2 linked regions of the Caenorhabditis elegans genome follow. The protein of the gene in region 1 interacts with the protein of each later gene in a pairwise test. Each region holds a gene or a part of one and is shown in the gene's direction. Other genes may lie near its edges. The genes, in order: aat-6 and nrfl-1.

Region 1 (6,537 bases):
CAATACAGCAATATGCATAAAGAAGAAAGTAATAAAATAGTTCATTGCAAATGCGACGAATAAAAAAATCCAATGAAGTATTTTATAGTCGATGCAAGACAATATACTCCTTTATAAAGTGCATATGAATTAATACAGTATCCAAACGAGTCCCTAAAAGAATTTCTGAATTCTTTTGTTGCGCTTTTTTTTGAATTTCCATGCACAATAGACTTTTCTTAACCCGATTTGCACTTGTTTAAAACACTTAACAATGAAATAAATTATACCGAAACTGTATAAATAAGTAGTAGATTTATGTTTTCCAGAAAATTTCGAAAAAATGAAGATAACAGTTAATTTTTTGCTCGTAGCTCTGATTGGAGTCCCTTCGGTGCTTTCTGATCGTCAGTGAGTTATTAGTATTACGTCTTTCTGTGATGTTTAAGACAATTTTCAGTATAACCCGAGATAAACGGCAAGCAATGCGAGATTATGCAAAGTGGGAAAATAATAAAATGTCTTTATTTTTCTACAATTTACGTAAGAAATAGTTTCAAAAATTGATTCGGATTATTATTTTAGCACTTGAAATGCAAGCCATGTTCCGAGATGCGATAAATTACTTGGAAAATCACACTTGTCTTAAATTTGAGTATAACGAGAATGCAGAAACTGCAGTTAGAATTAGAAAAGGAAATGGATGTTATTCATTGTATGGAATGCACGCAGGAGAAGTTCAAGATCTTACATTAGATTACAATTGTGCATCTTTTGGAACAGCTGTTCACGAAATCATGCATGCACTTGGAATTGCCCATGGTCAAGCTAGAAGTGATAGGGACGATTATCTTATAGTTGATTCAACTAATTCAAATGATGGTATTGAGAACACTGAAAATCTTGTTCCGTTTGATTATGGAAGCGTCATGCTTTATGCACGAGAGTGAGTAAAATTTTACTTTTCAGACTTCTTTATTACAACTAGGCTGTTTCAGTCCTCACAGTGATAAACGAATTCCGATAGATCCAGAATATAACTTCACAATGGGAAGCCTTCGAGTTGCGTTTTATGATATGGTTTTATTGAACAAATTCTATGGCTGCAACTGTGATAATCATCCAAGAAAATTGGATTGTAAAAATGGCGGCTATCAGAATCCGGCCAACTGTGAAGAATGTCTTTGTACTGACGGATTCAATGGTCAATTATGCGATCAGCATGAAGGAGTTTACGTTTTGGAAGCTAAAAAAGAATGGGATGCATCAGGAGTGCGTAATAATTACAGAAAAGGAATTGAAACAAATACTATGCCGGAGTATACTTATTTTGCATTGACTGTAAGAACTATCAGAGAACTAACCAGAGAATTAAAAAAAATTTTCAGGCTCCAGAAGGATCCACAATTGAGGTTCGTATCACCAAACTATCCGGATTTTTCTGTCAACATACATGCGATTATAATGGTGTTGAATTGAAATACAAAACTGATCGACGAATTGTGAGCCCATTAGTATGCTGTGATAATGATAATTTATGGAATAAGACACGATCATCAACCAATAATCCATTCATTATTGCAAAATATGGAAATAACCGAACACCTCACTTTGAATTCGAATATCGTTATATTCCTGGGAATGCTACTGCTGCGCCAGAAGAGAACAATTAACATCTCAATCCACTCCGTTGAAAATAAAAACTATGCTGATTTCTCCTCAGTAATTTTTAAAAATTTTAAAGTTAAAAAGAGTTTTTGAAACACTAAAAATTGCACATATCAATAATCTATCATAAATTGCAATTCGTCAAAAAATACCGTTCTAATTTAAAAAAAATTATAGATATTTTTCAAGTTGCATAGAAAACAGTTCAAACATTGCAATATGAAATAAATATGTAACAATTCAAAATGTTTGGATAATCTCTTTTATGTCATACACTGTGGGTTCAATATTTGTTGATCTCTCGCCTGTTTATGATGTTTTCATTCCGATGAACACATTTTCTTTATTTGTTTCCGTTCTAATTGTCGAGTCATGCTGAATGTTTTTGGTGAGTTGTATTTGAATATAAGATTATCAACTTCTCCTTTTTCTACCTTCCTTTTTCATTTTCTTCCCCCGCACATTTCGGTCTTTTCTGATCGACAGGCAACCGTTGGTTAGGAACAGATAACAGCACGCATCGGGTGCTTAGCTTCGACTTACACATGTACTTTATCATCAAAAAATTGAAAATTCGTGACGCGCCGGCTCCTTATTCTTATCAAATGCGGCGTGGTTTCGATTTCAGTGTTTTAGCACCTTCTTATTGCATTTCACACATGAATTTATTGCATTCTTGAACAATTTTAATGTGACGATTAAATAGGTTTAAAGAGAGACTAGTTTGATATCAAGAATTGTATCATTTTTGAACTAGATCATTTTCAACTTCCAGTCGGCTATGATCTATGTTTTTACTTTTTTTGGGTTTCGAGCCTTAACATTTGAGAGTTTACGATAACATTTTTAATTATCTAAACATTGGTTCAAAATTGTTTTTGAAACTAATTTAAGCAATTATTTAGCATAATTTTACATTTACTCACAACATGAGTACAAAACGTTTCCAATTTCCAGCGGTGAAAATTTGAAATTTTTCCTAGCAACAAACTTCAAAATGTTATTGTTCACACGTTTGTCACGCACATGTTAACTTTTTGTTTTAGATTTCCTCAAGTTTAAACATCTTCTCGATTTTTATTGCTTTCAAACCGATAGAAAGCATGTACAAATTTCAACAGAAAAGGCCGTTTAACTTCTCGAATAATTTAAATTTTGAACAGTCAACCAACAATAATATATACAGAGTGAAATTTAAATTAAATTCTCATTCATGCGCTGCAAGAGGTCTAAACTTAAAAACACATTTTTTTTTTCAAAAATGAAATATATATATCTCGAAAGTATTACTTTAATACACCTAGCAACACTAGTTTTAAAAAGAAAACTGCCGAAAAATTATATTATGACTATGAAAAATGCATTCGATTGTTGTGAACGTTTGTTTCTTCAAATCGATAAATGTGAATAGTGAAAAATCGCAAAATATGAGATATGATCATTGAAAATTCAGTTCAAAATTGCTGTAACTGCTTGATTTTGATTACTTTAACAGTCATGATAAAATTAATTCCATCTACCGAGGGCATGTGATAGATTCTTAATTTGACGTACGAATTCAATACACGTAAATAATTAATAGTCATTCTTTTTTCCATGTAATCTCATTTTCAATTTTTTTTTAAATGTCGTCGAGTAGCAAAAGCGAAATCGAAGATGATGCTACGAGTAGTTCAAGTCATTTTTCAAAAGCTCGTAAAGTTTTGGTAGCACTGTCAGGTCGTTTATTTACTATGTATTTTTTGACATAACCTTTTAGATTTCTTCAATACATGATTGATTTCATTTTCAGGAGTCTCCGCAAGTATGCCCGATGACTCTCGTTCCCAGAAAATGGGCCTTTTAGGTGCCATATCATATATTGTGGGTAATATTGTTGGTTCCGGAATTTTCATCACTCCTACATCGATTATCGAGAATGTAAACTCGGTGAGTATTTTTTATGTGCAAAAAAGAACGAGCGTGGACAGTTAAAAATTAATAGATGATATTAGTGGAAAAAAGTGTACATTGAATGGTGTTTCTGATTCCGAATTTTCATTATGTGTACCTATTTTAATAAACCTAATTGCTCTCCATGATCAAGAAATGTGTTAATTTTTTGATGTTTGGAATTAAGGTCGGCTTATCACTTGCTATCTGGATATTGGCGGCTTTTATCTCAATGCTTGGCTCGTTTTGTTACGTCGAACTTGGCACGTCTATACGTCTTTCCGGTGGAGATTTTGCATACCTTTGTTTCATGAAATGGCATGTGACTTTCACACTCTTCAGCAACATTTTAACGTGTTCTTTGACGTTTTAGGTATCCTGTGGCGTTTGCTTTTATGTGCATTGGTTGTACTATCAACTATCCAGCGACACTTGCAGTTCAGGCACAGACATTCGCCGAATATGTATTCCGGGTGAGCAAAGTTGAAAGTGCACATTTTTAAGATTCAAATTCAGGGAGCCGGAGTGGAGCTAGATGAAACGTCCGAATTCTGGGCTAAGAAGCTTTTGGGATTCTCACTAATCATTCTTCTCATGTTTATGAACTTCTTCTCATTGAAAACCTTTGTTCAAAGATTTTCAATTCTTGCCTCACTTGCGAAAATTGCAGCGACACTTCTAATCATTATCACTGGATTTTACTATTTAATATTCAAACACTGGAAACAAAATCTTGAAGAGCCTTTTAAAGGTTCAAATTGGAATCCAGGTCCATTTGTGAATGCTTTGTTCGCTGGTCTCTTCTCTTACGATGGATGGGATATTTTGAATTTTGGAGCTGAGGAGATTGAGAATCCAAAAAGAACAATGCCACTTTCAATTATCATTGGAATGACATGCATCGGAGTGATTTATGTAGCAGTTAATGTTGCATACAGTATTGTTCTTTCTCCCACTGAAATGATTGCCTCAAATGCTGTTGCAATTGATTTCGCAAATAAAACTCTTGGAGCAGCTGCTTTCGTTGTTCCAGTCATGGTTGCTATTCTACTAATTGGATCACTCAATAGTACTATGTTTTCTGCAAGCAGGTGAGTTCGATTACTTGACCAAAAAAGAGAAGACAGAAAAAATTATGTATATTTAGATTTACTGTGAGTCTATCAAATTAAAATCTAGTGAACATTTTTTAGAATAATAATATTTTTTCGAAGAGAATGGGCTTTAAAAGTTTTGGAAGACCATGTGGACCACGTCGGTTGTCCAAGACACAGATTTCTCTTTTAAATAATTTGATTTATAGGCTACACCAAAACACAAACGATTCGATTCCCAAAAATCAAATAAAATAGTTTTTTAAAGATATCTGCAAGCTGTCTCCCGTCAAGGACATATCCCGAGTGCAATTTCTGGTATTGCACCAAATTGTGATTCTCCAAGAGTAGCTCTCCTTGTTCATGTAAGTTATTTTTGAAGGGTATTTGAACAATTTCAATTTTCAGATCCTTATCGCAATTGCTGTCTCATTTTTGGGTGATCCTGACAAATTGATTAACTATGTAGCATTTGCTCAATGGTCACAAAGAGCATTTACAATGTCGGCTCTTCTTTATCTTCGTATCAGAGGACGGCCTCGTCATCCAGATCGTATTCAACTTCCAATCATTATGCCAATTTTATTCTTCCTCGTGTGCACTTCAATGGTTGTGATTAGTATTATTGACGATTTCAAATCTTCTGCAGTTGGACTTGGAATCCTTCTTGGCGGTCTCATTATTTTTATAATTTTTGTCTGGGATAGAGCTCTGCCTTCAAGTCATACTTTCAGAAATGCAACCCATGTCATCAATGGTATTGTTTTTAGCATTGTTTTTGAAAATGTATCATTATTTTTCTTTACAGAAGAAAGTACAAAGTTTATGCAAATTATTTTCAACGTGGTACCAGAACGAGTCGGCGACGAAGAGATGAAAAATGCCATTGGAGGAGCTGAATCGGAGAGTGAAAAAGTGCCAGCATACAAGATCTCACCAACTGGAAACGGGCAATTCAAGTGTACACGCATGTAAATATATGAGTATTTGTTGAGTCCGTTTTACTTCATTTTATAGGTGCTGTTGTTTTTTTAGAAAATGATTGTAACATATTTATTGAACAATTGTTTATTTGGTGATAGGAATACTACAATTTCTAATAACCCGTATCATATATAACAAAGCAGGGATGGGAGAGAGAGAGAGAGAGAGAGAGAGAGAGAGAGAGAGAGAGAGAGAGAGAGAGAGAGAGAGAGAAAAGCAGATACTGCTCAAAAGTCCACAGAGTTCACCCGACTCATAAAGTACATGAAAGTTGTTCCAAACAAAATACCACAAGCCTGGAGAATAGACACCAGAATACTCTCGGCCAAATTTTCTTTGATGAGCTCATTCGTCGATTCTCGAATTTCAGGAATCTGAAAGTGAACATTAGTTTTGAGCAAATTATAAAAATTAATCACAATAGGCCATAACATTTAGAAAACTAACCAAGGTTCCCAAGAAGATATACATATACATTCCGGAAGATATTGCAAAAATGTACTCGTCATACGAATCGTCCACACTGTCCAACATCACACCAATCGAAAATCCCAAGAAACTGAGTACAATTGGAACCATATTGAACAAAAGTGTCTTTTTGAGTCCTAATCCAGACTTTACAAGAATTGCCAAAGTTCCAAGTTCTTGAGGAAACTGTTGGGAGATTACAGCAATTCCAATACTCAGACCCCTGAGCAAATTGTCTGAAAATGCGGCTCCCATGCTCATACCATCCACAAAGTTGTTAGCTGATGATCCAAAAATAATCATATAGGCGACTGAAGCTACTTCCATTGCTGCTGGTTCAATTACTTTTTTCTCAACAACTCGAATTGATACTGACATTGAATCACTATTATCTTGATGATTCAGACCTGGC
Region 2 (5,301 bases), on another chromosome or scaffold:
AAGACTTTGTGTCGTTGAGAAGTTGAATGGAGAGAATGTAAGTGATTCAAATGTTTGAAACAGAATTGTATATGTTCTCTCTTCTATAAGTAAACGTTTTGGAATATTGTTATTTTACTATTAATACCCTCACAAATTGGAAAAAAAGTATGCAGTTCAGCCTGAGTTGTAACGCATGGAACTTTTTGAATCTGATAATTTTTCAGGCAACACGTGATGTAAATTGGAGTTTAAATAGTGTGTTATCTATAGTTTAAATTCCCATATATGTATGTTCAAAAACATTTAATTTCAGGAATATGGCTACAACTTGCACGCCGAGAAGGGACGTGGACAGTTCGTTGGTACCGTCGATCCGGATAGTCCTGCTGAGAGGTAAACATTTTTATTTTTGATATTGATGGACAATATTCATTGACAAATACATATATCAATTAAAAACCAATAATAAATTATTGAGTTTCAAAAATCTCTCAATACTAAAATGCTATGAAGGCTTTCACAGTTAGTCCATTTTCTCTGGTCAGCTCTGAAAATTGTAGAATATTTTAAAGTATTGGCATTGTCGGAGAAGAAACTGCAATTTTTGTTTCTATTTTACCAATTGTTTAAATATTTTCAGAGGAGGATTAATCACTGGTGACCGAATCTTTGCTGTCAATGGTCACTCGATTATTGGAGAAAATCACAAGAAGGTGGTTGAGCGCATAAAAGCAAATCCAAATCGATGTGAAATGCTTGTGATCTCTGAAGAAGGAGCTAAGTGGTACAATGAAAATAATGTTCAAATCACATTGGACCTTCCAAATATCGAACGAGTTTCTCCAATGGTTAGTCAAAATGTAGATTTTATCTTTACAAAATTAAAAAAAACAATTTTGTGTGACTTTTCTCATTCTCCTAACTTTATTTTAAATTCTAAAATTTTTAACATGTAAGATAAAAAAGTCTTCATTGTCGTGAAGAATGCAATATTCGTTTTTGACAGTAAAATTAGAAACATTTTCCATTTGTCTTATTTCCCTTTGTTGCGCCTAAAATCCCTTATGTTACCAATTGTCAGAGGAACTCCTGTCATCCGTCCAACAATTCTCCCCCGCCAAGTTCGTGGTACGCACCCACGTCATATTCACAGGTCAGTCTTTTTGCCTTTTCACATAATTTTCTCCTTTCTCCACTTTGTTTATTCCTCATTGTTATTTTGTAATTTTCAAACAGTATCGAATATCAAATAGTATAGCTGTAGTTGCTCATTGAGCATCATTTGTTTATTTGACACCTCTAGTTGCACTTGATCAACCGAACTTCGTATATCTACTGAGTCACACTGAACCATTTTTATGCGTCATTTTCATATGTTCTCACACTAAAAAAGGATTGACAAATATTTCGAGGTAGATAGACAGGGAGTCGATAGACAAGAAATGACGTCATTTTAGATGAAAGTTATAGGAACAATGAAAATTAAAAATTGGTAATTGAACCTGGGGAAATTGGAATTAACATTATTAATGGCTATGCAATTTTAGAACTGAAATTTTTAAAAAGTTATACAATATCCGATCTCAAATGAAGAAATGGAAATAAAAATTCTTGCAAAAAAATTGAATAATTTTTTTCTGTTTCATAAATAGTTAAAAGACTTATTCATAAATTTCAAAAATTCGGGAATTGCCTTTTCCGCACAAAAAATGTTTCCTCATTAAGGAAAACCCGTGGTTGGTTTGGAGACTATCTTGAAATTGTAATGCACATATTCTGTCATTCGATGATGCTTTATATAGTTTAGGCGATTGAAATCTGATTAAAACTTTTCTTTAGAACTCCATAAAAATATTTGATTTATTGCAAAAGTTTTGTAAACTTTTCTAAGTTCCTTGTAATATCTAAGTATTGCTAAGACATCATTTCTAGTCATCCACTTGTACTTTCTCTCCTCCAATTTTTGATTTACAATCTGATTCTCCATGCACTCCAAGACGTTCTCAACCATTATTCTTCAAACGGAACAACTTTTCGATGATTCTCGAATCGATGAAGAAACGGACGACACAATAGCGTTGGTTTTGTGTGTGTGTGCCTGTTTTGTATGTTAATATTCAATAAAAATATGAAGAAGATGGAAAAAGACGGGGCAAAGAATTTATGGGCCAAACCATACATATTCTATGCATTGAGGCACGAAGAGGGACAAAAAAGTTATATATCTTGACAAACAAAGGAATACCAAAAAGGCACTTTTGTTTGATTCACATTCCTTGGCTCTTCGGCACATCACTACAGTATTCTCAACTCTTATTCTCAGCTAAGAAATTTCAATTCTAAATCTGCATATTGCCTTCTTCAAACATGGATCGCAATCCATCTGAACCAGAAAGAATAGATTGGAAAAACCCAATCACGTGGATTTCGTATCTCTACACCTCTTTCGTGTACTATTTGTGGTTGATCTCCTCGCATCTACCACATCTCCCACAACCACAACGGATTACCGATGACAAATCAACGGAGCAGATCACCAGAGACGCAGGTATTCCGCGCACTGAGATAGTAACACGAGGAGATGCTACGCAGACAGTTAGACAAGTAGCGGGTCTAGGGGACCCAGCGCCAAAGGATTCATCATTATTGCCTCCCTCTTCGTCGTTCGTCTATTGCAACAACTGTCTAACACCTCATTCGTCTCAGAGGACTTGTTCTCCAGCCTACGTCTCTACTCTCTCAAGACAAAAGTCTTTGACGTTGCTAAAGAAATTGAAGAAACCCTCATCATCTGCTTCTTCCACCACTACCACCACATCATCGACTGTATCTTTCCGTGCACCTTCACGTGCATCATCAACGATCTCCGACGCTTCTACCATCCGCCCATCTGAACTCATTGCTATCGTTCCATCTGGTAGCCACGTGTTGCTGCGAGTTCCGAAACTTGATTGGAAAACTGAATCAATTCGAATCAAAAGAACTAGAATGAGTGATTGGATGGATGCGGAGCAACGGGATGTGATGAGACAATTTGATGAAGTTATAAGATCAGAAGAAGAAGACGAGAGGACCTCACGAAAAAGGAACGGAATCTTCAAAGATGGATCTGTAAGGAGTATTGAATCATTGGAATCTAGGAGTCGGGTGAGCACACGTTGTGATTTTGAAATATCGACTCAAAAATAAAACTTCTTTCTAACAATTATAAATTTAAAAGTTAGAGAATTATCTATTAGTATTGCACCCCCTTACTGTAGGCAGCTCATAACTGATTTTTCATTGATTTTATTATAATTTGACAACTTTCTACTTATAATCTATTTTACTATAATTTTTTAGTTAATAATTTTGTTGATGTCAGCAACTGTCTTTAAAATGAACCGATAGCTCCAAAGAAACGATGGAAAATTATATTTTACGGACCAAAGTTGATCCAAATTTTTTGCTGACAATTGTTCCTGTTTATTCAAAATTTAAAAATTTAAATTACACATTTTTTGGTTTGGGCTATAATTCATCATAAAACCATACTTCTTTAAAACGTGAAATCTCAACTTGTTTTACAGCATTTCAGATAAAATGCACACCGTAGAATTAATTGAAATGGTATTTCAACTGGTTTCTTTTCTTTGTTTTTCATCTTTCCCATACTGGTACGCGTGCCTATCCTTACCCAAATTCTTCAAAAACAATTTGATAAGGATTTCAGTATTTTTTCTTTAAATTGATTAGAGACCAACTTCGCCAAACTATCAATTGGGTACTATGTTTTATAAACTATTCCAACATTTGTTGAGGTATTCGTCATCCTCTTCAACTTTTTTCTTCAATATTTCCATTTTCTCCAAAAAGAATTTCATTTTCATATAAATACGAGTATCATTTCCTCTTCTTCATATTTCTGACTCATCTTTCCTCCATCTTCTCTTGCATACATTTCCAAAAATTTTGCCAACTTGCCAAGTAAACCGCAAACATACGAGAAAACTGTTAAAACTGTGTCTGCACTCTACGCACTCTCTCATTCAGCCTCTTGAAGCTTATGTATGTTTTGTTAAATGTGTGTTGTGGCATTGGCAAGAAAGGAGAGAGAAGGTAGATCATTTTTTATTGAGAAGAAAATGACAATGAAGAAGACAAGTAATAAAAAAATATGTTTAGTGCGAGAGAAACAGAACAAAATGATGATTTATGATCAAAATTGAGACATTAGAAAGTTGGAAGAGGAACTGTAAATTAAATGAGAAAATGGGATACAGAGATATGATAGCAGATAGATTTATGAGGTATTGATACGGAAAATAACATAAATATTGGAAGACTGGCGGACTGGAAATTTGCACAGTTCAATGTTAGGAAGATTGAAATGAGTGTAGAAAAACAACTCAAAGAGGAGTGTAAATTAATCAATAAATAGGTTATTATTTTTGACAATTAACACTTCAATAAATTGTGACATAATTAAAAATATGATGAAACAGAAATAGTTTTGGAAGACTAACGAGTTACCAGCATTCCAGTGTTTAACAGTATATTACAACTCGATGAAACATTCGAAAATTCTAAAATGGAAAATCGATTAAAATTTTTTACTCCTTTAAGAAATCTTGTTCGTAAGCCATATTCTCAGAGAGAACCAAATTCAAAAAAGTTGTCTGACTACAGTAATCCGCAACAATTCCACTTACCTATCATTCGTTACAAATCTTCCTCTTCGTTTCTTTGTCCTTTAATAAATGACCTTCATTTGAATATATCTAATTGGTCCTCCATTAGACACCTTCTTCCAATTGTTTTTTATCCTCCACCTGCCATGTCTTTATTTCAATCTGTCTGTGTCTCGTGCTCTCTCTCTCATTCAATAGAAAGATAGTTAACGAAGCATGACGCATTGGAATATCTTGCTTCACTAAAAGATTGCAACATTCCAATTCTATTAATTTTTACAAAAAACCAACAATCTTCTCCCATTCTTGTCATTTGTCATGTTTAGACACTTTCTCAAGTATTTTACTAATTTTCTTCAAAAAGTACACATTCATCAAACGTTGTATGTTCAATATTCTTTTCCTTCAAACAAACTTTGAATCTCATAAAATGTTTTGTGGTTTCGGAACATGTTAGAAATACAAATAACTTGTCGGAAAACTTTCACAAAACTTGAATTTTATTTCTTGGCATTTCCCAACATTGAAACGCATCTTGTAATCCGATATTTTTGGGACTTGTTTTTTATATTCACTTTTATTCGAAAGAATATCAGAAATAATATACATTAGACTATTTCAAGTGGCGTAGGATATAGGGTTCCTTTTT

The links.
Region 2: the proteins of aat-6 (region 1) and nrfl-1 interact in a two-hybrid assay, tested with the Caenorhabditis elegans proteins (one study listed by BioGRID).

Annotation. Positions count from the first base shown.
Region 1 is NC_003283.11:11,466,081-11,472,617, reverse strand, and holds aat-6 (Amino acid transporter protein 6), read left to right. Parts: upstream 1-1,954; 5' UTR 1,955-2,019; coding exon 2,020-2,035; intron 2,036-2,188; exon of another isoform or gene 2,189-2,328; intron 2,329-3,439; coding exon 3,440-3,576; intron 3,577-3,766; coding exon 3,767-3,897; intron 3,898-3,952; coding exon 3,953-4,052; intron 4,053-4,095; coding exon 4,096-4,670; intron 4,671-4,941; coding exon 4,942-5,038; intron 5,039-5,081; coding exon 5,082-5,430; intron 5,431-5,481; coding exon 5,482-5,648; 3' UTR 5,649-5,776; downstream 5,777-6,537. Other genes in the region: Zinc metalloproteinase-like protein nas-21, read right to left, coding at 1-45; Zinc metalloproteinase nas-20, read left to right, coding at 323-390, 440-522, 565-925, 978-1,320, 1,368-1,652; zipt-16 (Zrt (ZRT), Irt- (IRT-) like Protein Transporter), read right to left, coding at 5,885-6,031, 6,105-6,537. UniProt on the Caenorhabditis elegans protein: Amino acid transporter that mediates the uptake of the L-enantiomers of various amino acids, including L-glutamate. May play a role in promoting fertility.
Region 2 is NC_003282.8:9,119,132-9,124,432, forward strand, and holds the start of nrfl-1 (Na(+)/H(+) exchange regulatory cofactor-like protein nrfl-1), read left to right. Parts: upstream 1-2,240; 5' UTR 2,241-2,349; coding exon 2,350-3,129; intron 3,130-4,146; exon of another isoform or gene 4,147-4,547; intron 4,548-4,673; exon of another isoform or gene 4,674-4,745; intron 4,746-5,301. UniProt on the Caenorhabditis elegans protein: Scaffold protein that connects plasma membrane proteins with members of the ezrin/moesin/radixin family and thereby helps to link them to the actin cytoskeleton and to regulate their surface expression.